Linked DNA regions of Macaca mulatta. The protein of the gene in region 6 purifies or fractionates together with the protein of the main gene of each other region. This does not show direct contact. Links are inferred from orthologs where the notes say so. Each region holds a gene or a part of one and is shown on either strand. Other genes may lie near its edges. The genes, in order: SNRNP200, PRPF3, KNSTRN, SNRPD1, SNRPD2, PRPF19 and SNRPA1.

What was found.
Region 1: the proteins of PRPF19 (region 6) and SNRNP200 purify together in Homo sapiens (affinity purification with mass spectrometry; 3 studies listed by BioGRID and IntAct, counting the BioPlex papers as one, with this or other methods). This does not show direct contact. The link is inferred for Macaca mulatta from reciprocal best matches to the Homo sapiens genes PRPF19 and SNRNP200.
Region 2: the proteins of PRPF19 (region 6) and PRPF3 fractionate together in Homo sapiens (co-fractionation; 3 studies listed by BioGRID, with this or other methods). This does not show direct contact. The link is inferred for Macaca mulatta from reciprocal best matches to the Homo sapiens genes PRPF19 and PRPF3.
Region 3: the proteins of PRPF19 (region 6) and KNSTRN purify together in Homo sapiens (affinity purification with mass spectrometry; 4 studies listed by BioGRID and IntAct, counting the BioPlex papers as one, with this or other methods). This does not show direct contact. The link is inferred for Macaca mulatta from reciprocal best matches to the Homo sapiens genes PRPF19 and KNSTRN.
Region 4: the proteins of PRPF19 (region 6) and SNRPD1 fractionate together in Homo sapiens (co-fractionation; 3 studies listed by BioGRID). This does not show direct contact. The link is inferred for Macaca mulatta from reciprocal best matches to the Homo sapiens genes PRPF19 and SNRPD1.
Region 5: the proteins of PRPF19 (region 6) and SNRPD2 fractionate together in Homo sapiens (co-fractionation; 3 studies listed by BioGRID). This does not show direct contact. The link is inferred for Macaca mulatta from reciprocal best matches to the Homo sapiens genes PRPF19 and SNRPD2.
Region 7: the proteins of PRPF19 (region 6) and SNRPA1 fractionate together in Homo sapiens (co-fractionation; 3 studies listed by BioGRID). This does not show direct contact. The link is inferred for Macaca mulatta from reciprocal best matches to the Homo sapiens genes PRPF19 and SNRPA1.

What each region holds. Positions count from the first base shown.
Region 1 is NC_133418.1:5,010,829-5,014,328, forward strand, and holds the end of SNRNP200 (U5 small nuclear ribonucleoprotein 200 kDa helicase), read right to left. Parts: coding exon 3,395-3,500; intron 3,113-3,394; coding exon 2,969-3,112; intron 2,879-2,968; coding exon 2,702-2,878; intron 2,407-2,701; coding exon 2,246-2,406; intron 2,151-2,245; coding exon 2,069-2,150; intron 827-2,068; coding exon 734-826; intron 637-733; coding exon 493-636; 3' UTR 214-492; downstream 1-213. UniProt on the Homo sapiens protein: Catalyzes the ATP-dependent unwinding of U4/U6 RNA duplices, an essential step in the assembly of a catalytically active spliceosome. Plays a role in pre-mRNA splicing as a core component of precatalytic, catalytic and postcatalytic spliceosomal complexes.
Region 2 is NC_133406.1:116,795,743-116,799,242, forward strand, and holds part of PRPF3 (U4/U6 small nuclear ribonucleoprotein Prp3), read right to left. Parts: coding exon 3,380-3,500; intron 1,284-3,379; coding exon 1,204-1,283; intron 1-1,203. UniProt on the Homo sapiens protein: Plays a role in pre-mRNA splicing as component of the U4/U6-U5 tri-snRNP complex that is involved in spliceosome assembly, and as component of the precatalytic spliceosome (spliceosome B complex).
Region 3 is NC_133412.1:17,701,216-17,704,715, reverse strand, and holds part of KNSTRN (small kinetochore-associated protein), read right to left. Parts: intron 3,379-3,500; coding exon 3,285-3,378; intron 1,442-3,284; coding exon 1,380-1,441; intron 661-1,379; coding exon 586-660; intron 1-585. UniProt on the Homo sapiens protein: Essential component of the mitotic spindle required for faithful chromosome segregation and progression into anaphase.
Region 4 is NC_133423.1:70,797,268-70,801,235, forward strand, and holds the start of SNRPD1 (small nuclear ribonucleoprotein Sm D1), read right to left. Parts: upstream 2,801-3,968; 5' UTR 2,693-2,800; coding exon 2,679-2,692; intron 1-2,678. UniProt on the Homo sapiens protein: Plays a role in pre-mRNA splicing as a core component of the spliceosomal U1, U2, U4 and U5 small nuclear ribonucleoproteins (snRNPs), the building blocks of the spliceosome.
Region 5 is NC_133424.1:58,224,554-58,226,607, forward strand, and holds the end of SNRPD2 (small nuclear ribonucleoprotein Sm D2), read right to left. Parts: intron 1,753-2,054; exon of another isoform or gene 1,618-1,752; coding exon 1,438-1,617; intron 802-1,437; coding exon of another isoform or gene 776-801; coding exon 601-775; 3' UTR 501-600; downstream 1-500. UniProt on the Homo sapiens protein: Plays a role in pre-mRNA splicing as a core component of the spliceosomal U1, U2, U4 and U5 small nuclear ribonucleoproteins (snRNPs), the building blocks of the spliceosome.
Region 6 is NC_133419.1:13,166,190-13,170,146, reverse strand, and holds the start of PRPF19 (pre-mRNA-processing factor 19), read right to left. Parts: upstream 2,801-3,957; 5' UTR 2,600-2,800; coding exon 2,581-2,599; intron 1,668-2,580; exon of another isoform or gene 1,580-1,667; intron 120-1,579; coding exon 1-119. UniProt on the Homo sapiens protein: Ubiquitin-protein ligase which is a core component of several complexes mainly involved pre-mRNA splicing and DNA repair. Required for pre-mRNA splicing as component of the spliceosome.
Region 7 is NC_133412.1:91,654,048-91,658,276, forward strand, and holds the start of SNRPA1 (U2 small nuclear ribonucleoprotein A'), read right to left. Parts: upstream 2,801-4,229; 5' UTR 2,736-2,800; coding exon 2,654-2,735; intron 287-2,653; coding exon 139-286; intron 1-138. UniProt on the Homo sapiens protein: Involved in pre-mRNA splicing as component of the spliceosome. Associated with sn-RNP U2, where it contributes to the binding of stem loop IV of U2 snRNA.

The DNA.
Region 1 (3,500 bases), on a different chromosome or scaffold from region 6:
GGGCACCACTGGGGCCAGGCCACAGTCGGATGTTCCCTCCTCCAGGCTGACTCACAAGGCTACAGGGGACAGCACGCCTAATGAGCAGGTCTGTCCTCCAGAAGTACTCATTACAAGCACGTTTCTGGCTAAAAAATAACCAGATCTTTTTGGCCATGCCCTTAGATTGGAGAAAGAAAACGTTTAATTTGGAATCACTGCAAAGACAAATGGTTTCTACAAATTATTTTATTAGAATATCAAACTCAAAAGAACTACCAGGAACATGCCTGAAAATGCTATATATGATTTATGCTTCACCCGTGACACCTGCTGTCACTGGATCCAGAGTGAGCAAGGGAAAAGGAAGTGGAGGTGGGCAGGGACAGCACCAGCCCTGGCTGGCCAGACCTCAGGCCCACAGACCTGGTCCCCACAACCAGGATCCCTACAAGGTACACATTGCTAATTCAGGCTCGACTCTCCTTTACCCAAGAGTAAATGCCTCAGGACTCAATCTGAATCACTGTCCGTCTCAGCTTCTTTCACATCCACGCTGAATTTGTACTCCTGGTCACATCCCATGTAAGCGTCACTCATGAAGTACAGAGTGTAGTTGTGGGCGCCAGTGGCTGGGGCCACAAAGTCCAACTTCACCTAGAAAGAGCAGGCAGAAATCATTATGAGCACGGACACGGTAAGCATTCTCACCCTTCCCCCACGCCGGAACAAATGCTGGCGCCAGTGGACACACCTTGGCCTTCTGCTGGAGGGTCAGCCTCTTGATGGAGATGAGACTATTGGACTTGGCGTCTCCAATCACCACCCACCAGCCCTCTTCACGCTTCTGCAGTGATCCAAAACCAAGAATTTCAGCATGTAAAACTTGATGGCCATAGGCAGCCATGAAAATGGTTACGGTTACAAAAGAAATAACAAAAATCAGATAGCTTTCCAAAGTTTCTTCCCGAAATACAATTAGATACAACATTTTAATACTGTCAAAAGTTCTCTCAAACAGGCTTAATTATTTAAGTAAGTAGATGAACTCATTTGTTGGTTCTGGCTCATTTCCTTGTGCCAAGGTACCTTCTCCCGCTTAGAACCTGCTGCTAAGTCCAAGGTACTACTGTTAGAGGTCTAGTCTTTGGGGCCTGGTAGCTTTGAGTTCCTTAGAGATACTTTTAAGTCCAGGGCATATCTGCCAGATGAGAAAAAGCTTAACCCAGAGCTGAATGTGCACAGAGATGATCCCCAGCAGGCCTTGCAGCCCTGTCTACTGGCCGCCCCACTGTCACAAAGACCAGGAGTCCTAGTTAAAAGCACTCGTTACTCAGAGCCTGTGAATTACATATCACAGGATCTGGTTTCTGCTGTCAACCTTCAATTCTTCTCCCATATAAAGAGAACCAGAATTTCTTTCTGCTGGTAAAAAACCAAGCACCCAGAAGCACAGTGAGTGGCAGTGAGAAAAAAGAAGAAACCACCAGGAAAGCCCAAGTGTCCTGGAGCCACGGGAGTTAAAGACAAACGCATCTTAAACAGCCAGAGAGATGGAAATGCTGCACGACTGACGGGTTTCACAATGACCAGTCATCTACTTTTTTTTTTTTTTTTTGAGACGAAGTCTCACATTGTTGCCTAGGCTGGTGTGCAGTGGGGCAATCTCAGCTTGCTGCAGCCTCCACCTCCCGGTTCAAGTGATTCTCCTGCCTCAGCCTCCCAAGTAGCTGGGACTACAGGTGCCCACCATCAGGTGCAGCTAATTTTTGTATTTTTAGTAGAGATGAGGTTTCACAATGTTGGCCAGGCTGGTCTCAAACTCCTGCCCTCTTGATCTGCCCGCCTTGGCCTCCCAAAGTGCTGGGATTACAGGCGTGAGCCACTGTGCCCGGCCCTAAATTGTTTAAGCAGAAACAAACACGAAAGGAAAAAAAAAAAAAACCCATAGCCTCAAGATTAATTCTCAGCCTTGTGAGCTCATTATCAGTCTAAAGTTTCCCTCCCTCAGGGACAGTGCCCTTGCACCATGCACCTAGCCAGTGGATAGGGGAGTTGACACCTGGCCAAGCCAGTTACCAGGACGCACCTGCGGGAAGAGGGGCGCAATGACAGGGCCTGTGACTTCCTCCTCTCGCTCCAGCTGCACCAGCACCACAACTGGCCCGCCACTGCAGGGGGAGAGGAGGGGCGCACGTCAGTGATGTGGCAGTGGGCTCACAGCATACTGTCGTGCTGTGCCCAACAGGTACCACCTCTGGCTCACCTGCGGATGCTGTCCTTATCCACCACCTCATAAGACAGTTCGATATTAGGGTAGCGGTTACAAAAGCGAGCCACATCTGCAATCTGGCTGTCGGTCAGCTGAAGCAATGCGTTCCGTTCTTCATCCTCCATCTCCATGATGTCGAAAACACTCTCCACCCCCTGCAGTGAGGATTCGGACGTCAGGAAAGACAGAACACAGGCCACAGCAAATGACACAGGCGCCAAGAGCTGCTACTTTTACCTCCTACACCATCAAGTCATCTAGAGAAAACAGCTGCAGAAAGAACACGGCCCACCGTTGGCAGCCTCTCTAGCATCTCAACAGGGAGCCCCTTCGGAGGAACCACAACTACAAGTTTCACTCACTGAGACCCACCTCCCGCAACCCACCCTCGGTCCACAACACTGGGCTCTCAGGCTCACCCACCTGACCCTCTGGGCTGACCCGGCTCACCTTGTCTGTGCAACGTTTGATGTGCTCAGAGGTGAAGTGTGGCAGCTGCTTCAGGTAGGAGTCCTTGGACCACATGGCTTGGGTGACCATCTGGGCCAGTTCCATGGCTGCCAGAGCAGGGCTGAGCCACCCATTGCTGGAGAGGACATCCACACAGGCCTGGATAAGCCGGATTGCCTACCACGAAAAGGCGTACCAAAGTGGGCGGGGTTGCAGCTGAGATGTCTAGAGCACCACTGGCCCCTGTGCCCCACACCCACACCCTACCTTACTAAGGATTTCCTCCGTATCTGACTGCAACTCAGCACTCAGCTGCATGCGGGACAGGTGAGCCTGCAGGAGCAGGTTGGTCTTGACGTGCGGATCATTGAACTTAGGGTTATTCAGCTTGTGGGGGACCTTCTGAGCCAACTACAAAGTGGAAGAAAAATAGTTGGTGATGAACAGGTGACCCTGCCTGAGACTGGCTCAGGCCAAAGCACCACATGGCCCAGGCTCACAGCCCTTCAACACCCCGAGGCACGTGGGTGGCAGTGGGATGGAGATGAGTGTGAGGGAGGTATGGAGGGGAGGACATATGGTGGGGGTCGGGGGATGCATAAGGGGGTGTTGGTGGCAGGGACGCCATGTGCTCTGGGCACACAGGCAGAGTTCGTTGTTCCCAGGACGTTCTCCTGAAGCTGCCGTCCTCACCTGCCTCAGCAGGTTGTCTTCATGGTGCCGGATGGGAATGTTCTCGTACTCTGCCGCATTGGAGATGATCTCGATGAGCCCTCGCACCTTGGTCTTGGCATTGAGG
Region 2 (3,500 bases), on a different chromosome or scaffold from region 6:
AATTAGGGCCAGGTGCGGTGGCTCACACCTGTAAACCCAGCACTTTAGGAGGCTGAGGTAGGAGGATCACTTGAGGTCAGGAGTTCAAGACCAGCATGATCAACATGACAAAACCCTGTCTCTACTAAAAGTACAAAAACTAGCCAGGTGTGGTGGTGGGGACCTATAATCCCAGCTACTTGGGAGGCTGAGGCAGGAGAATCGCTTAAACCTGGCCGGGGAGTGAAAGTTGTAGTGAATGAGTGAATGGAGATCGCGCTATTGCACTCCAGCCTAGGTGACAAAAGTGAAACTCCATCTCAAAAAAAAAAAAAGCGACTTTGTTTCCCAGTTTCAACTTTGGGAAACTAACAAAAAGTCCTTTGGAGTTAGCATCCCTCACAGTGGGTAGTGGAGCATATCGCATCTAATAACACACCAAACCAAGAGTTTAGCTCTTGCATTTGCATTTAGCTATGGATGCCATGACAACATGTGGTTCTATAAAAGGAGCAAGCTGAGGGCTGCTTCCTAGGAACAACCAGGGAACTGTAAATGTAAAGCTTCATGAAATTTTTGGGGTTCTTTTTTTTTTAAGAGACAAGGTCTGGCAGTATCACCCAGGCTGGAGTGCAGCAGCGCCATCTCAGCTCACTGCAACTTCTACCTCCCAGGCTCAAGCCATCCTCCACACCTCAGCCTCCCAAGAGGCTGGGACTATAGATGCACGCCACCATGTCCGGCTGATTTTATTTTTTGTAGAGATGGGGTTTTGCTATGCTGCCCAGATCTGGAACTCCTGAGCTCAAGTAATCTGCCTACTTCAGCCTCCCAAAGTGCAGTGATTATAGGCATGAGCCACCATATCCAGCCAAATTATTTTTCCTTGAGATGGGTCTCACTGTGTTGCCCAGACTGGTCTTGAATTCTTGGCCTCAAGCGATCCTCCTGCCGTGGCCTCCCAAAGTGTTTGGATTAGAGGCATGAGCCACCATGCTTGGCTGTCTCATGAAATTCTAAGCACAGGAATATGCACTTAAAATGTATGTTCACTGGTCAAACTACAAACTATTGTTAGGAAAAAAACTGAACTAAAAAAAAAGAATTACACATGGATAGTGGCTACTGTACTGAACAGCACAGATACAGAACATGTTCATCGCTGTATAAATTTCCAGTGGATAATGCTGCTCTAGAGACTTGATTCAGGAATCTATACATTACCTGGAGGATTGAGCTGGGCTGGATGTTCAACAAGATTTGTGATTCCAAAATAATCTTCTCTCTTGGGATTTTCCTCTGTACTAAAATTGTAGGAAGGAAAGAAAACGCGATATGTGGGTAGAGATGATTCTAAGAGAGGAGTCTCAGAAATACAATGAAAAAATCCATTCTCCATAATGGGTTCTTGCGCTTGATATACCTAAAATAGCATTTACGTACCTAAAATATATAATTAAATTACATATAATTTTTATGATGAGAGAACTGAGTCCCTCTATGGTTGAACACACTCTCCACAGCAGTCATTCCCAACCTTTTTTCTACCATGCCACAGCTGATAGATGCTATGTTCTCTCATTAGTGACAATAAGTCCCTGGAACAGTGGCTGACAAAGAATGGGCAAGGAAAGGCTAAGATAAAATCTACTAAAGCCATGTATCAGAATGATGGAACAGGGCCAGGCGCAGTGGCTTATGCCTATAATCCCAGCACTTTGGGACACCCAGGCAGGTGGATCACCTAAGGTCAGGAGTCTGAGACCAGCTTGCCAAACAGTGAAACCCTTCTCTACTAAAAATATAAAAACTGGCCAGGTGTGGTGGTATTTGCCTGTAGTACTGGATACTCAGGAGGCTGAGCTAGGAGAATCGCTTCAACCCAGGAGACAGAGGTTGCAGTGAGCCGAGATCATGTCACTGCACTCCCAGCTCAGACAACAGAGTGAGACTCTGTCTTTAAAAAACAAAAAACAAAACAAAACAAAAAACAGTGGGCGTAGTGACTCATGCCTGTAATCCCAGCACTTTTGGGAGGCTGAGGCAGGTGGATCACCTGAGGTCGGGAGTTCAAGACCAGTCTGACCAACATGGAGAAACCCGTCTCCACTAAAAACACAAAAAATTAGCCAGGCGTGGTGGCGCATGCCTGTAATCTCAGCTACTTGGGAGGCTGAGGCAGGAGAATCACTTGAACCTGTCAGGCGGAGGTTGCAATGAGCCCAGATCGTGCCATTGCACTCCAGCCTGGGCAACAAGAGCGAAACTCTGTCTCAGACAGAAGAAAAAAAAAAAAAGAATGATGGAGCAGATATATTTAAAGCTCCTCAAATGTGTCTTATATCCTTTTTTTTTTTTTTTTTTTTTTTGAGACAGAGTTTCACTCTGTTGTCCAGGCTAGAGTGCAGGGGTCATGGTCATAGCTCACTGCAGCACAGACACTCCTGGGCTTGAGTGATTCTCTCACATCAGCCTCCTGGGTAGCCAACCCACCATGCCCAGCTACTTTTTTTTTCTTTTTTAATTTTTATAGAAATGAGGTCTCACCATATTGCCCAAGCTGGTCTTTAACTCCTGGGCTCAAGCAATCCTTCAGCCCTCAGCCTCCAAAAGTGCTGGAAATAACAGGTGTCAGCCACCAAGCCCAGCCTTATAAGATATATTTACAATTATCTCACCTACCAACTAATAATCCTTGCTCTATCACAATGAGATCTTTAGGAAATGTAAACACCTATAATATGTAGCAAAAGAATGTAATTAAGGAAAATAATGCTAAAAACAGGCAACAATGTGTAACACAGCAAAATTAATTACAGACTTTGCTTTTGTAGATTATTTGTGTCCCTAGTTATCCTACATTAACCCCAAAAGCTAAAAACAACCTATATGATACATCACAAATGCAGGAGCTTGGCCTGGTGCAGTGGCTCATGCCTGTAATCCCAACACTTTGGGAGGCTAAGGCGGGCAGATCACCTGAGGTCAGGAGTTCGAGACCCGCCTGGCCAACATGGCAAAACCCTCTCTCTACCAAAAATACAAAAAGCAGACAGGCGTGGTGGTGCACACCTGTAGTCCCAGCTACTCGGGAGGCTGAGGTTCAAGGAGAATTCAAGGAGAATCTCTTGAACCTGGGAGGTGGAGGTTGCAGTGAGCTGAGATCGTGCCACTGCACTCTAGCCTAGGTGACAGAGTGAGACTCCCTCTCAAAACAAAACAAAACAAAACAAAAAACACAGGAGCTTGTGTACAGTTACTTATCTTTCTTGGATTTTAAAATTTTAATTAATGAATGAGTACCATCCTTCCCACTAGCTTTACTAAAAGGTATTAACTTGAATCTTAAACTCGGCTGATTAAAAACTGTTTTTTTAAAAAGGTACTAAAACAAACTCACAGATCAAAGCCATTGGGAATTATGTAAGAGTCCCACCACTCAATTTCAGGAATATCTCCTTCCTTTAGCTCCTTCTTTGGAGCTATGAGGGCAAGCCTAGTCGAAGTATGGATGCCTGTTT
Region 3 (3,500 bases), on a different chromosome or scaffold from region 6:
GTGTTGCCCAGGCTGGAGTGCAATGGCACCATCTCGACTCACTGCAACCTCTGCCTTCCACCACACCTGGCTATTTTCTAAATTTTATTTTGCAGAGATGGGATCTCGCTATGTTTCCCAGGCTGGTCTCAAACTCCTGGCTTCAAGTAATCCTTCTACCTCAGCCTCCCAAAGTGCTGGGATTACAGGCATGAGCCACCATGCCTGGCTGATTTCTTAGTTTTGACAAATGTACCAGGATAATGTAAGATGTTACTGTTGGGGGTTGGGGGAGGGAGTGCATCAAGAAGAATAGCTAATAGATGCTGGGCTCAATACCTAGGTGATGGGATGATCTGTGCAGTAAACCACCATGGCACATGTTTACCTTGTAACAAACCTGCACACCCTGTCCATGTACCCCTGAACTTAAAAGTTGGAAATTAAAAAAAAAAAAAAAGTATCAGGGTAAATTTTCTGTATTATCTTTGTAACTTTCCTATAAATCTAAAATTATTTAGCAAGTTTATTAAAAATAAAAAGAAAAACAGGAAAGAAATCTACCTATCGTGGTAGAAAATGGTCAGGGTGATGTCTGCCTCTCACCTGTAACTCCTCCATCTGCTTTTTGGCTGTTTCATTAAAAAGCTTCAGCTCCTCTTGCAAAGTTTCTAACAGCAACTAAGAGGAAAGTACAATGTAGTAAACAAATCTTCATATAAAACCAGACCTGCATTAGATGATGGCTGACATCCCTTCCACACAGTTCTCAACAAAGGAGTCAGGAAATTTGATACAGTATAGAACAGAGGAACCAGAAAGCTCTCTCTACAGGTTTACCTATCACGTGTTTTAAATTTTCTTTTTTCTTTTTTTTTTTCTTTTTTTTTGAGACAGAGTCTCGCTCTGTCGCCCAGGCTGGAGTGCAGTGGCCAGATCTCAGCTCACTGCAAGCTCTGCCTCCTGGGTTGACACCATTCTCCTGCCTCAGCCTCCCGAGTAGCTGGGACTACAGGCGCCCGCCACCTTGCCCGGCTAGTTTTTTGTGTTTTTTAGCAGAGACGGGGTTTCACTGTGTTAGCCAGGATGGTCTCGATCTCCTGACCTCGTGATCCACCCGCCTCAGCCTCCCAAAGTGCTGGGATTACAGGCGTGAGCCACCGCGCCAGGCCCCACGTGTTTTAAATTTTCAATTCAGACTTACCTATATTTGTAAGCACAAAGCTACCTTTCAAGTAAAATATGCTATTTTGAGTGCATGTTCCATTTGTCTTTTCTACCATCGCAGATAATCAAAGGTTGTTTCTTGGGGTTTATGGAACATATAGCAGAGACCTTCTTAGATTTACAGAGCCCCACAGTCACTCAGCCCTTGTGCCCTTTTGCACCCATTCCCTCACCATAGAGTCCATGTGATCGGTAGTAGATTCTTGTCGTGATGCCAGGGTCTCACTGCCTAAAGCTGACGGATACAACAAAGTCAACTTCACTTAGGGAACTACACACTTTAAACAAAAAAAAATAAAAACCCTCCATGAACAAGTACAGAAATATTCATGAGGGGAATTTCTCTTAAGTGTCTAATCCCGGACTTTCTCCCAAGTTTTCACCTTGGCAGGGTCACCCACATCTGCCCTGCAGAACTGCATTTTATCTCCTTTCAATCTAGGTTTGGATATGGCCAAAAATTCTGTATACTTTCTCCTTAGGTCAGTGGACAATTTGTCCAAAGGAAATGTATAGGTTGGATTTTTTGGTTTTGTTCACAATTTAAGAGCCTTTCAGGCCTTAAAAATTATTACTTTTGGTAATATCACATGCATGTAATAAATTAAAATCATACAAAATATTTATGGTGTCAGTTGTGGTGACGCATACCTGTAGTCCCAGCTACTCAGAAGGATTGCTTGAGCCCAGGAGTTGGAGGCCAGCCTGGGCAACATAGCGAGATCCCATCTCAAAAAAAAAAAAAAAAAAAAATTTAAATTTAAAAATATGTATTTGGCCGGGCGCGGTGGCTCACGCCTGTAATCCCAGCACTTTGGGAGGCCGAGGCGGGCGGATCACAAGGTCAGGAGATCGAGACCACGGTGAAACCCCGTCTCTACTAAAAATACAAAAAATTAGCCGGGCGCGGTGGCGGGCGCCTGTAGTCCCAGCTACTCAGGAGGCTGAGGCAGGAGAATCGCGTAAACCCAGGAGGCGGAGCTTGCAGTGAGCCGAGATCGCGCCACTGCACTCCAGCCTGGGCGACAGACCGAGACTCCGTCTCAAAAAACAAACAAACAAACAAATAAAAATATGTATTTTACAGTGACTATAAAGAATATCCCAGGTCGGGCATGGTGACTCATGTCTGTAATCCCAGTACTCTGGGAGGCTGAGGCAGGCAGATCACTTGAGGTCAGGAGTTTGAGACCAGCCTGGCCAACATGGCGAAACCCTGTCTCTACTAAAAATACAAAAATTAGTTGTGTATAGTGGTACATGCCTGTAATCCCAGTTACTCACGAGGCTAAGGCACAAGAATCACTTGAACTCAGGAGGAGGAGGTTTCAGTGAGCTGAGATCACGCCACTGCACTCCAGCCTGGGCAACGGAGTGAGACTCCATCTCAAAAAAAAAAAAGAATATCCTCACCTGTAACCTAAAGATTAACCAGTAACATTCAAAGTCAGTATTCCTTAATACAAAAAGGCCTGGGCCCATTTCCTGGGCATTCTCTAGCTCTTTGACTCAGGCTGAGGCCCTCTTATAGTCTTTGGACAATTCTTTCTACTGCTCTCTTTGCTACAGATTCTGCTCTCTGGGGGACAGGGTAACAGTAGTCATTTTTTAGTCACTGTAATTCTACTGATTAGCCAGGTTTAAGAATGCTTGAAGTAGTATTTTCTGTCTCTTCCCATTTGAGAAGTTACTAGTATGCTTGCGAGGAAGAACATGTTCAAACAAAATGTTCCTTTCAAGCACACTAGTAACTTTCCCAAATGGGAAGAGACAGAAAATATTCTCCCTTGAAAGGAACAAAATATTTCTCATCTACTTGCAAGGTCATACCTGTTGGCATAAAGTGTTCAGGTAAGAAAGAGATAACCTTCTCTCTATATAATCCTCTGAAATTCTATTGGCCAGGCAAAAATCAACATCACATGAAAACAAACAGAAGCTCTCCAAAATCTTTAGGGCTTTACTGAAGTAACCCCTGCACTTACTGGGCCAGCTGATGCCATGCTGCCAAGATCAACCCAGGAAGGGACACATGCACTGATCCCTTCAAAGACAGCTAGCTGTGTGCTATCTCTTACCTGGATCAAGGCCCTTGCTCTCCAAAATTGCCAAACAGTTGTCCCGAAACTTCTCCAGCAGCTCTACCTTTTGGGTCAGGTCCTTCAGCTCTCCCTGTTGGAGCACCGCACAGACAGATCAGGAACTGTCCCAATCCCTAGGGGTGGTCGCCCTTTCTTGCCCTTGCTCTTGGACAGCCATAGCAAAAGCCTGTTTTTTTTTTTTTTTCTGCCCTT
Region 4 (3,968 bases), on a different chromosome or scaffold from region 6:
TCAACTTATTTTCAGACGAATCTTTCAGTATCTGAATTCTTTCTACTTAGTGAAACTTAGATATCAAATAGTCAGATAACACGGTGTCCCTCAGTATCAAAACACACTATCTGAACCCAAAAAACAAACAGGAAAATGTGGGACACTTTTATGCAGTAGGTAAAACTGGCAGTGTATCAAATGTCAAGGACATCAGTAGAGAAAAAGTCAAGCTCACCTCCCAGGTTTTTGGTTAGGGTGACAGTGAGAATAAGGATGACAACTACCAACTGATATACAGAAATAAGTCTACTGAAAACGCAAACCAGTTAGTCAAACAATCATTTTCTGGAGGAAAAATACATTCTCTGGTAAGAAAAAAATTTTCTTTCTATATTTGACCTAAGACACAAAACAGGATTCAGTCCAGGTATTAAAAATTACTGGAAAATTGCCATAACATGCAATATATTTAAAGGGAACAAATGAAATCCAAGGTGTATTACATAAAATTGAACTATGAGTAGATTAAGATTCAGATTAGCAGGTATGGAGAAATTTCTTTTTTTTTTTTTTTTTTTTTTTTTTTGAGACGGAGTCTTGCTCTGAAGCCCAGGCTGGAGTGCAGTGGCCGGATCTCAGCTCACTGCAAGCTCCGCCTCCCAGGTTCACGCCATTCTCCTGCCTCAGCCTCCGGAGTAGCTGGGACTACAGGCGCCCGCCACCTCGCCCGGCTAGTTTTTTGTATTTTTAGTAGAAACGGGGTTTCACCGCGTTAGCCAGGATGGTCTCGATCTCCTGACCTCGTGATCCGCCCGTCTCGGCCTCCCAAAGTGCTGGGATTACAGGCTTGAGCCACCGCGCCCGGCTGGTATGGAGAAATTTCAAAAAATGTTGTAATTTTCTTTTTTGAGACAGAGTCTCGCTCTGTTGCCCAGGCTGGAGCACAGTGGTGTGACGTCGGCTCACTACAACCTCCCGGGATCAAGCGCCTCTCTTACCTCAGCCTCCTGAGTAGCTGGGATTACAGGCGCCCGGCTAATTTTTGTATTTTTTCGAAAGACGGGGTTTCACCACGTTGGCCAGGCAGGTCCTGAACTCCTGACTTCAGGCGATCCGCCTGCCTCAGCTTCCCAAAGTGCTGGGATTACAGGCGTGAGCCACCGCGTCCAGCCTAAAAAATGCACTTTAAATTCTATGACTTCCTATCCAAAATTATAGTTCAAATAAAAATACAACAAAAATTAATCTTAATTGTCTTTTGTACCAACTCCTCCCTGAATTTTTTATTTTTTATTTTTTTATTTTTGCAACGGAGTCTCGCTCTGTTGCCCAGGCTGGAGCGTAGTGGCCAATCTCAGCTCACTGCAACCTCTGCCTCCTGGGTTCAAGCGATTCTCCTGCCTTAGCCTCCTCAGTAGCTGGGATTACAAGCGCGCGCCACCACGCCCGGCCAATTTTTGTAATTTTAGTAGAGACGGGGTTTCACCATGTTGGTCAGGCTGGTCTCGAACTCCTGACCTAGTGATCTGCCCGCCTTGACATCCCAAAGTGCTGGGATTATAGGCGTGAGCCACTGCGCCTGGCCTCCTCCCTGAATATTGAAGGCTTTTATGTGTTATTTAAAACGTTTCAAACAAACGTTATTTCAGACGTTATCTACTTGTCTGTCATCCCCCTAACTAGAAAGCTCCAACAAGGATCTGCCTTTTAAAAAATACTATTACCAGCGCCCAGTAGGTAACAGGTGCCCAATAACTATTTAGCGGATAATGACAATCCTTGACTCAACAGGAAAGAAACAAGCTAAATATTTATAATCGATGGCTTAGTTATTAGAAACGTCTGCCTCTGTTCCAGGCTCAGTCTCAAGGAAAAAGACCAAAACCAAATCTACTCGCAGGTAGTTTGGAATTAGTCTCCAGAAGACTCACCTAAGTGACAGGGTCTATTTCTCGCGAAAGAAATAAAACAGAATAACTATATATCATCTGGGTAATCAGCCACAATTACGTTGTGATAATTTCTGCCCTATATTGGGAGATTTTCCTAAATAAAAAGCTTACCTTAACAGGAAAGAGGTAGAATAATCAATCATAAGTCTAAGGAGAATCAAAAGATAAACTTAAAAATCGGCCGGGCGCAGTGGCTCACACCGGTAATCTCAGCCCTTTGGGAGGGCAAGGCAGGCAGAACGCTTTAGCCCAGGAGTTCGAGACCAGCCTGGTCAACAAAGTGAGACACCGTCTTATTTAAAACAAAAACAAAAACAAAAACTTGTGAAGCCAGAAGTCCTTCTCTGATTTAAAACAGTTTGCAAACAGGTTTGTTTCCAGATAAGCTCATACAGCTTTCTAAGTACTCTTAAGTAGGGCTGGAGCTCCACTCAAAAAGAAAATCAGTAACTGTAAGGGCGAGATGTCTCCCAGGCGGCGCTGTACCTTGAAAGTCTCTAAGTCACTAGGCGGGAAGAAAAGGCTCGGCCTTTATACCAGTATCTTGGAAGACACGCGGGATTCGCGAGCGACCCAGGCGGAAGCCCAGGCCCGAGCACGAGCTGCGGGCGCAGTAAGGCCGGCCGTTAGCAGGCCGCGCACACGCGGCTTTCCCGCCTCCTGCAAATGGGAGAGCCCAGCCTTCCGGACTCCGGGCCAAGCCCTCCCTCCACAGCCCCCGGAGCTGCTTGGTCACTCCCTCACCTCACGAGCTTCATCCTAGCGGCGCCGTCACCCTTCGGGTCCGAGAGCGCACAGAATCCAACAACCGAATACTGACCGACTGCAGTATGAATGGCCGGAAGCGCCTACTCCAGGGACTCCGGTCGTAAAGGGCGCGCGGAGCACAGCAGACGCACGGCGGAAACGCCGAGGCTGCGCTGGGCCGCACTCTCTTCCGGTCGCGAGGAGCGCGACTGCGGCCCCTGGCGGCTGGAGGTTGCCTTGCCACGACTGAGGGTGTTGAGGGCTGGTCTAAGAGGAAAAGTGTCCCACAAGAGAGGGAGATTCGAAGAGATTAAATCCAATTAATAGGACTGTCGCACTTTGGGAGGCCGAAGCGGGGGTATCACCTGAGGTCAGGAGTTCAAGACCAGCCTGGCCAATAGGGTGAAACCCGCGTCTGTACTAAAAATACAAAAAATTAGCCGGATGTGGTGGCGGGCGCCTGTTATCCCAGCTACTCGGGAGGCTGAGGCAGGAGAATCGCTTGAACCCGGGAGGCAGAGGTTGCAGTAAGCCGAGATCGCACCACTACACTCCTGCCTGGGCAACAAGAGCGAAACTCCGTCGCGCGCGCGCGCGCGCACACACACACACGTACTGTCACCATCACGTTTCTGAATAGCAGGGCACCGTGAGTGCAGCACCTAATATAAATTCCTCACTGAACGAAAATAAGTTCTTAGAGAAGCCCAAAGGATTATGCTAATTCTGTTCCAACGCCAGGAACCTTAGCATTACTTAATGTACCTGAAGCAATTCACACAATGGGCCGGGCGCTGTGGCTGACGCCTGTAATTCCAGCACTTTGGGAGTCCGAGGCGGGCAGATAGCGAGGTCGAGAAATCAAGACCGTGCTGGCCAACATGGTGAAACCCTGTCTCTACTAAAAATACAAAAATTAGCTGGGCGTGGTGGCACACGCCTGTAGTCCCAGTTACTCGGGAGGCTGAGGCAGGAGAATCGCTTGAACCCAGGAGGCGGAGGTTGCGGTGAGCCGAGATCGCGCCACTGCACTCCAGCCTGGCAACAGAGCGAGACTCCGTCTCAAAAAATAATAAAAATAAAAAAATAAAATCACACAATGTAGCGGATTATTTTCACTTTAAGTTCCGATCTATAAGACAAACTTTTCAATCTTCATCTTTCACAACATCTCCTCAAAATTTTTTATTGTTTTTCTGAGACAGAGTCTCCTTCTGTCGCCCAGGCTGGAGTGCAGTAGCACGATCTTGGCTCACTGCAACCCTTGCCTCCCCGGTTCAAGCGATT
Region 5 (2,054 bases), on a different chromosome or scaffold from region 6:
TCCACCCGCCTTGGCCTCCCAAAGTGCTGGGATTACAGGCGTGAGCCACTGCGCCTGGCCAATCTTTGTATTTTTAGTAGAGACAGCATTTCACCATGTTGGCCAGGCTGGTCTTGAATTCCCGATGTCAGGTGATTTGCCCGCCTCAGCCTCCCAAACTACTGGGATTACAGGCGTGAGCCACCATGCCTGGCCCCAAAAGATATTTTGGTCAAGCGAGGCCAATTCATTTTAAGAGGCAGAGAAGAGAGCAACAGAGTGACAAGGCGAAGCTCAGAAAGATTAAAGCAGGAGAACTAAAATATTCTCCAGTGCCACAACTGGGTGCTCATTTCCATCCAACCTGTTTGCTTTGCGGAGGGGGAAAGTGAGGCCTCGATGGGGCAGAGCCAGGGCCTCTCCACTTGCTCACGGGTCCTGGTCCCAGCATTCAATTTGATATTAGCTGCCTCCCCCAAGCCCTCCTGAATCCACCCCACTCACAAGGCTCTGGGAACACATACCACTAGAAAAAAACCACAGAGCTTTATTATTCTCAACACCAATGGCAATGGTCTTCATAGGACGAGAGAGTGAGTTCTGTCGATGGATAGGCAGCCCCTACTTGCCGGCGATGAGCGGGTTCCGCAGGACCACGATGACCGAGTCCCCACGCAGGAACATCTTGGAGATGTAGCGGTCTTTGTTGACTGGCTTGGATTTCTTCTTGCCCTTGCCGCTCTTAGGGACCTCAGTCCACATCTCCTTCACGTTCTCCAGCACCATGTTGCAGTGCCTGGTGGGGAACAGGGAGGGGAGGCACTGGGTGTGAGGGGGGTGCCTCTGACAGCGCTGCCTGCTGCTCGCCCCCTCCAGCAGCATGGCTTGGGGAAGGATGCAGGTGCTAGGCTGGATGACCAAGCTGCCAAGGCCAATTCTGCCAGTCCTTAGGTTGAGGCTGAGGCAAAGGACTGCACCTCTCTGTGCCAGTTTGTTCATCTTTAAGAGGGAAGACAATCACAGTACCTTCCTCACAAGGTCGTTGAATATTATCTTTTTTTTTCTTTTTTTTTTTTGAGACAGAGTGTCGCTCTGTTGCCCAGGCTGGAGTGCAGTGGTGCGATTTCAGCTCGCCGCAACCTCTGCCTCCTGGGTTCAGGCAATTCTCGTGCCTCGGCCTCCTGAGTAGCTGTGAATACAGGTGTGCACCACCACGCCCGGTTTTTATATTTTTAATAGAGATGCCGTTTCACCATGTTAGCCAGGCTAGTCTCGAACTCCTGACCTCAGGTGATCCACCCGCCTTGGCCTCCCAAAGTGCTGGAATTACAGGCATGAGCCACCACCCTGGGCCATACACCCCAGGCGTCTGAGAAACCTGTCTTTGAGCTCTTCAGACTGGAGCTAGGGCAGCCTCTCTAGGCCTGCACAGAACACCTCCCAGGACCCAGCACTCACCTATCGAAGGCCTTCACACGGCCCAGGAGTTTCTTATTGTTGCGACAGTTGATGAGCACTTGGGTGTTGTTCTTGACTGACTGAGTGAGCACAGAGAGTGGACCCGTGTTAAATTCCTCCTCCTCTCGCTTCTGCAGCTCCTCTGGGGTCATCTCACTCTTGGGCTTGTTGAGGAGGCTCCTGCATGGATAAACATGGAACCCACAAGTGAGAGAGGCTGGAGCTGTGAGGATGGGTGGTCAGGGCCTCAGCCTCAATGTCTCCCCAGCCTTGTCCCATCACATCCGTCCTGTTTGGCCTTCTGAGTATCACCAGCTGGATGCCTAACAGACATTTTCTTTTTCTTTTCTTTTTTTTTTTTTTTTGAGACAGAGTCTTGCTCTGTTGCCAGGCTAGAGTGCAGAGGCACGATCTCAGCTCACTGCAACCTCTGCCTCCTGGGTTCAAGCGATTCTCCTGCCTCAGCCTCCTGAGTAGCTGGGACTACAGGCGCGCGCCACCTCCACGCCCAGCTAATTTTTGTATTTTTAGTAGACAGTGGGTTTCACCACGTTGGCCAGGATGGTCTTGATTTCCTGACCTCGTGATCCACCCGCCTCGACCTCCCGAAGTGCTGA
Region 6 (3,957 bases):
AGGCTGGTTGTTGATGGGGTCGGTACCATTCTCTGCAATGTACTTCTCAATGAGCCGCCGCTCATAAACATGATTAGAGACAGGGGACACACATGGGTGCTCCGGCACTTCATTAGAGACTGTAGAGAAAAGGCCGGCAGTGAGCTTGGAGTGAAGGCAATCTTGAGCCTAGAGGATTCCTCATCTGCTATTAGCCCCAACAAGACTAGGCATCCTCACAATCAACTAGCAAAAAGCAAGACATCTGACCCTAAGCCAGTTCTGTACTGGCCCCAGAATGCTTTCCAGCTGTGGAACTAGCTTTTCCTTTAGTCTCCTGACAATCAGATAGTCAACAAATAATTATTAACAACTACTATGTGCCAAGCACCTAGAGAACAGCAGTCCATTATCGCCACCTAATATCTGAACAATGATTGTGTACTCTATGAATACAGTTTACTCCATGACATGGAGACACACATGAAGCCATTCAAATCCCTTCCATCCATCTTAGTCTATAGCTCCAGAGGGATTATCAAAGAAATCATAAAGTCTGAGAATATAGGAATAACAAACTCAGTTTCTCCTATTCTCTCACAAAACAAAATACTTCTGTGACCTCAGATGTGACCATCCGGGTGTCCTCCAATTCAATTCTGACACCAGGTACCTGGAGATAGTGTCAGATCACACGGGTTGAGGTCTCAGTCCCACCAGACTCCCCCACCCCTTCAGATGCCAATCGCAAGCTCCAGGTTGTTTGACCTGTTCTTCTGATCTACCAGCTGTAAATCAGGGTTCCCATGACCCCCTTTTTGGGTTCAATTAATTTTCAACAGTGACTCACAGAATTGTGGGAAACACTTATGTTGACCAGTTTATTATAAAGGATATTACAAAGGGTATAGATGAAGAGGTGCATAGGATGAGGTATGGGAGAAGGAGTACAGAGCTTCCCATGCCCTCCCTGGGCACCCCACCCTCCAGGAACGCCCACATGTTCTGCTATACAGAAGCTCTTTGAATCCTGCCCTTTTGTATTTTTATGAAAACTTCATTACAAAGGCATGATTCAATAAATCACTGGTCACTAGTGACAACTTCAGCCCCTCTCGTTCCCCAGGTAAGTGGGGGGTAGGACTGAAAATCCCAACTTTCTAATACCCTTTAGTCTTTCTAGGTGACCAGTCCCCATCCTGAAGCTATTGACGTCTGCCAGCTACCAGTCAACTGATTAGGATACAGGCAGACACTTATCACCTGGAAGATTCCAAGGAGCAAAGTGGCAATCATTACAATAAAAATATTTACATGGCACATGTCTATGTGCCAAGCACAATTCTAGGCATACAGTACAGTAATTCATGTTCACAACAACCCGCAATAGAGGTATCATTTACACTCTTGCCTGCATAGACTGTGCGCCCCTTGAGGATAAGGATTACAGCTGGTCTCTCACTTCCAGTACAATGCAGATGCCCCCGGGGCACTCGGTAAACATCTAACGAATGAGTGAACCCTGCCAGGAAAGATAGTGCTGGGGAACGTAAAAGAGAGCTTTCCCAAGACTGGAAGGAAACAATGAATATGAAGGTACTTTGCGAGCTGTAATTTCTTCAATGTGAGGGATTCCTTTTCCATCATTTCCCTTCCTTCTTCCCCCTCTCTGGATCAACGTACAGGTTCTGAGAAGAGACGGAGGTGAATAGCAAAAGGGAGGGGAAACGAGTAATCTGATGAAACAACGAAAAGGGAAAGGAAAACGTATGTACGTCATGATAAAATATCAAAGGGAAAGATAGTGGAAGGTATGGAAAAAGCAAGGATTCAGGCTCCAAACTCCGTGTCACCTAACTACGTCACCCAGCTCTGCCATTGACTAGCTACGCATTCTTAGATAAGCCCCGCTCTTCCTGAGCCTTGCCTCCTCATTTGCAACACCAGGATCTTTTCTCCTTTAGGGAATTCTTGTGAGGATAAAATGAGATCCTAGACTTGGAAGCGCGTTGTAAACCAATAAGGGCTTTATAAATGTGCGCTGTTTTTAATTAGTCATACACTGTAAGGCTGGGAGCCATATACCTAGCTGCCAGCCTTGCCTACCTCTAACTCATCATGTGACCTTTACAAATTGCAAAAGCTGCGACTATCCGAGCAAGGCCTCACAAAATATCCAGTGCAATGCTCTCAATTTTGCAGATGGGGAAACCGAGGCACAGAGCCTTAAGCCAATTCACAAAGCCAACAGGAGGCGGACCCTGGACAAGACCTCGGGTTTCCTGACTCTTACATCAAGGCTGTTTCCCCTGCACCAGCTCCCTCTGTCCAGGCCTGTTTCCACTCGGTAGAATGAGGCGACCTGCCTCAGTAATGCCTGCGACAATAAACCTCCGGCACTATGTAAACTGCGGAGCACTGCGCAAATGCACCCCGCTCCGAGGGGAGGGCTCCGGGGCTGACAGGCCGCCGCTCTGCCTCTGGAGCGCCCCATTCCCGCCTCCACCCCGGCCCCGGCCCCGGCGCCGCAGTGGCCCGCACACGCTCCCGCGCCGCTCTCCGGCCTCCTGCGACCCGCGCTCGGCCGCAGGCAACACTCACTGGAGCAGATTAGGGACATGGCGCCGTTGCCGCGCTCCCAGGCGCCACACGCCGGACTCCGGGACTGGCTTCTGAGCCTCCGCGAGCCACTTCCGGTCCCCCGCTGCTGCCGGGACTGCTCAGCTGCGAGCTGGGAGCCGCCAGTCGAGCGATGCTCGCGTAGCGCTTCACGTGGGAATGGGGACAGCCGCGCGCCACTGCCTCCAGCACCTAACGGAAATAGACCTTTCCCAGAATGCAGCCGGGCAGGAAAGGGCCCGCCACGAACACTCGGTTATTTCCGGATTGACTCGGCTCGTTCCGTAAAGCGCCCGGGGATTGGCGGGGGCGTCGGAAGAGAGGAGACTCGAAACTACATTTCCCATGATGCAGTGAGAACTTAAAACCAAAGCAATTGGACAGCACTTGTTTTGACAACTGTGCGGCACTGTGTCACGGGACCCTGGTCTTTGAAACCTTGGTGTGCGCGAGAATTTCCCAATTTCCCATTGTTAAAATGCAGATTCCTCGGATCTGCGTAGACAGACTGCGCCCCACGCTATTCTAAGTCAGGTGTTTCTCGGGCCACCCTTTAAGAGACACTGCTGGATGGCCTGGTGTTAAAAATACAGAGGCAGATGGGTACAGGAACTAAGAAAACGGCTAAGACAGCGTTTTGGTCCTGACTACTACCGTTTCGCTCTGTGATTTGGGGCAATTCACATTGGCTTCCCTGCCCTTTCTTCTTTGTCAAAAGACAAAATCACAACAAATTTAGTTTAAAGTTTTTTGTTTGTTTTTGTTTTTTGGTTTTGTTTTGTTTTTGTTTTTGTTTTTAAGAGACGGACTCTGGCAATGTTGCCCAGGCTGGAACGCAGTGGCTATTCACAGGTGCAATCGTAGCAATCATGGCTATCACAGGTGCATCCTGGAACTCCTGGGCTCAAGTGATCCTTCTGCCTCAGCCTCCAGAGTAGCTCTGGGACTTAGGGTGCAATTCTATAAAATTGGGCAGCGCCTTACACTATAAAATCTAATGGTTGTTCCAATGAGCTGAACAGGGGAGCTTGGTTTTTTAGACAGAAAAGGACTGAGGAAAACAGAAACAGAACAAAAATGGGATTGGTCATTTGGTAATCTCAAAATTACTTTTCTTGTAAAGGTTAAAGTGGAGGGTACTTCTTTATCATGCCATGTAAAACTTGCCTGTTTGGGAATTTAGCTCTCCCCGCCAACACACATGCACACACACACTCTCTCTCAGAAGGTCATAAAGATCTTAGTTTCAGCTCATTGGGGTGGAACTTCGGCAGGACTCTTTTTAGCTTGGTCTGTTAGGCCTAGCGCAAGAGCTCAGTCCAAACCAGTGGCCTCTTATCAATTTATTTTGTATTTTCT
Region 7 (4,229 bases), on a different chromosome or scaffold from region 6:
AAATATTTTTTAAAAATATAAAAATTAAATTAAAAAAACCATGTAGGTTTAACCGGTAGTACGTGCTACAGCTTCTTCAGGGAACACTGCAACATTTACCCTAGGGGGAAAAAATTACTTTCCCCTATAGGCACTTACCATATTCTGTTGTTGTTCACTAACAATGTTTTCAGTCTTCTCAACAAAGGAAAACCATCCAGTTTCCTGATCTCATTGTCAGAAAAATCAATAGCATCAAACTGGTCTAATGTAGCACCTAGATTTTCAATGACGGGAATTTTATACCCTGTAAAATGGAGGAAAAAAAAACACACAAGAGGTATTAATATAACTAAACAGCCCCTTAAAACATTAGCAGTATTTCATAGTATCTGATTCCAGGCTTTGATTTATTCAGGAAGCATTACCTAGCACCTATGCCATGTCATACATGCCTTGCCACTGTACAAGATACTAGAGAGAAAATGCTGAACGAGTCTCAAGTACCCAGTGCCATGAAGCTTACAATCTAATGACAACAAGGACAAGAACAATAATAATGGGTGATATAGGTAGCTAACATTTATAAGAACATTTACAAGGTGCCTCACACTGTTCTAAGTCATTTGGGCTAGTTAAGCGGAATCCGCACAACAGGAATTTACACTTTGAGCTGCTTAGTCTCAGTGCCCAAACAGCGTTCAAACATTGTGGATAACAGTTCTCCACTCTTGCATCTCCACGGGCCAGATTCTTAGAACCCATCAGAACAGCCTCAAGATATGACAGTTCTCCCTCCCCTCCCCCAGCTACAATTTAGAGTTGAAGAACTCAATGGTTTACATAGAGTAATAAACCTGTGAACACTCAAATGTTAATTTGTCCAATTTGAGCATAATTACTGTGTTAGGCACTATAAGAAAAGAAATATTCTGAAGAAGCAAGGTCTACTAAAAAAGAATTCACCCAAAGTTAAAGGGCACAATTCAGAGCTATACTACACGTATTGCATCAAAATATGTATTCTCAATATTGCACGTACTCCATAAAGAGAAATGGCAGAGATCATCAAAAGTGGTGAGTTGGGCCGGGCGCAATGGCTCAAGCCTGTAATCCCAGCACTTTGGGAGACCGCGGAGGACGGATCACCTGAGGTCGGGAGTTCGAGACCACCCTGACCAACATGGAGAAACCCTGTCTTTACTAAAAATACAAAATTAGCCGGGCGTGATGGCGCAGGCCTGTAATCCCAGCTACTCGGGAGGTTGAGGCAGGAGAATCGCTTGAACCCGGGAGGCAGAGGTTGCAGTGAGCTGACATCGCGCCATTGCACTCTAGCCTGGGCAACAACAGCGAAACTCCGTCTCAAAAAAAAAAAAAAAAAAAAAAAAAAGTGGTGAGTTGCTCTTGAACTGAACCTTTCTCTAACAAACTTAATTTCAACAAAATAAAAATACTGGGGGCCGAGCGCAGTGGTTCACGTCTTAATCCCAGCACTCTGGGAGGCCGGCGGAGGCGGATCACCTGAGGTCAGGAATTCGAGACTAGCCTGACTAACATGGCGAAACCCCGTCTCTACTAAAAATACAAAAATCAGCCAGGCGTGGTGGCTCACGCCTGTAATCCCAACAACTCGGGAGGCTTGAGGCACAGGAATCACTTGAACCGGGGAGGTGGAGGTTGCAGTGAGGCGAGACCACACCACTGCACGCCAGCTGGGGTGAAAGAGCGAGACTCCATCACAACACAACACAACACAACACAACACAACACAACACAACGGGATTTCCCAAAGGTCAGCAAGAAATCTAAGCAGAACACAACACACAACACAACACAACGGGATTTCCCAAAGGTCAGCAAGAAATCTAAGCAGATCCCGCAGCGATGCTGCTCCAAAGCCATAGGTCCCCGTGGGAACAAATCTCAGGCTACGGCTGCATGGTCTTATCCCCAGAGAAGTTGCTCTTCACATCCTTTTTAAAGTCGTCTCCTGAAATGCCAACTAGCTAGCTGCCCTCCCAATATCTTACCAAGTCTTGCTAAGGTTGAAATAGTACAGGAATCTGAATAATTGCGAGCGCTTCCACAACTTACACACAGCACAGGGCTGTGCAAACCTGGGTCACACAGTTCAATTTTTAAAACGTCTTCATAAAGGGGAAACGCCAGACAAAGGTACTAAGTAGAAAATACTGGGGGAAACAATCGCTGTTGTTCGGGGACTTGGTTTCCTCCCTCACATTAGGAACAACGAACACATATCCCATCTACGCTCAAAATATCGTCTGGCGGCAAGTATTAAGAACCAATCACTCGCCCTGCACTAGCGTTACAACCATTAACGAGCCGCTCTTCCGGGCCCTCAAACAGAGCCAACTGCGAAACAGCCAAGCAAGGCCTAATAGAGCCCCACGAGTATGCACCAGGAAGTAATGAAGTCACTCGTGCCTGTCAAGAGGCACGGCGGTAAGAGAAGGCTCCAAGAGCCTAACGGGATGCTCATTTGGCAACAACGGCAAGAATCAGGCCCCGCGTTCCCTGCGCAGCCCGGTCGGAGCCCAGACAACCGGCCCGCGGGCCAAGCTCCGGCCTTCGGTGCACGCGGCAGAGCGCGGATAATAAGGCGACGCGGTGCCGCCCGGGGGCTGGCCGCCCACGCCCTCGGACTCACCTCGGAGGTCCAGCTCCCGGTCGCGCACCGCGTTGGTGTACTGCGCCGCCTGCTCGATCAGCTCCGCCGTCAGCTTGACCATCCTGCTGCCTCCCGTCTCCTCGCGCCGTGGAAAGCCCGTGGCCTCCCGCCAGCGAGACGTCCCAGCGTGCCCCGCGCCCCACCGCCAGGCAGCACCAATCGCAGCCCCCGAGTGCGCGCGCAGCTCGCCCGCCAGGCCGAAGCAATGGAAGAGCCACGCCTTCGGGGTCGTTCTTGCCGGAAGTCTTGCCGGGCGCGCAGGGGCTGTGTCTGGTTCTGGGTTCTTTCCTGGGGTGTGTTTGGAGTCTGGAGAACCTATGATTCCAGACGTTGGTGTTTAAAAGTTAAGGCGAATGTGGAAACATCCGAGGGGAACTTTTTCATGCATTAGCGCACCTTGAGGTGGGACGGGAAGCTGTGACTGCTCTCCCTCCACCAGCCGGCGCGGGGACCCGTGGGGTTCAGTGAAGGGTCCAGGAGTTCAGGTACCCGTCCTGGGCCTGGGCCTGGGCCTTGGCTCCGGGTTACAGTGTGAGATCCCGGGCTAGGTGGCCCGCCTGGGGCAGGTCGCCGGGACAACCCCACAGCTCCGCAAGTCCAACCTGGCCTAGGGCATGGTAGGGTTTGCGGTTAAGCTTGTGGCCTTTAGACTTCTGAATATTCATATGAAGTATGATATACAGAAAAGTGTGCATATGATGAATTTACAGCGTGATTAATGACCAGAGTGAACACAACTGCTTAGCCGACACCGAGATCCAAAAAACCACTATTCTGAAAGCCTTCCTCTTTCCCAAAGGCAACCGCGAACTCAACACTACAGATTCGTTTTGCTTGCTTTTGATATAAATAGAATCATGCAGTATGCTTTTTTTGGCCTAGTTTCTTTGAGTCTATATTATGTCTGGAGTCCATCCAGGTTGCCTACAGAGATGGTTTGTTTGCTTTCGCTGCTGAAGAGAGTTCCATTGTATATATTATACCATAAATTACTTATTCTGCTGTTGATGGACATCAAAGTTGTTTTCTGTTTAGGGCTATTCTGAGTAATGCTGCTATGAATTTTCTGGTACGTGGATCTGATGCACATTTGCATGAGTTTTTCCTGGAGTGGAATTGCTGGGACATAGGGTATTATATCTATCATCAATAAGTAATGCCCAACAGTTATACTAAGAGGCTGAAATAATATACACACTCCAGCGGTGTGTAAGGGTTTTCATGGCTTCCAGCTTCAGGCTTGTTTGCATTTTAAGTCTATAACTTTAGCTATTCTGATGGGTGTGTGGTGGTATTGCACTACTGCTTTGCTTTTCTCTAATAACTAATGAAGCTGAGAACTTTCTCATGTGTATGGTGCCCATTCTGATAGCTTCCTTTGTGAAGTGTTCTTTCGAGTCCTTGGCTCATTTTTTTCCTTATGGAGTTGTCTGCCTTTTTTCTTATTGATTCTTGGAATTTCTTTATATATTAGGCATATGAACACACGCTGTGGCTTGCCTTTTCACTCTTAATGGTGTTGTTTGATTAGAATTTTTTTTTTTTTTTTTTAAGA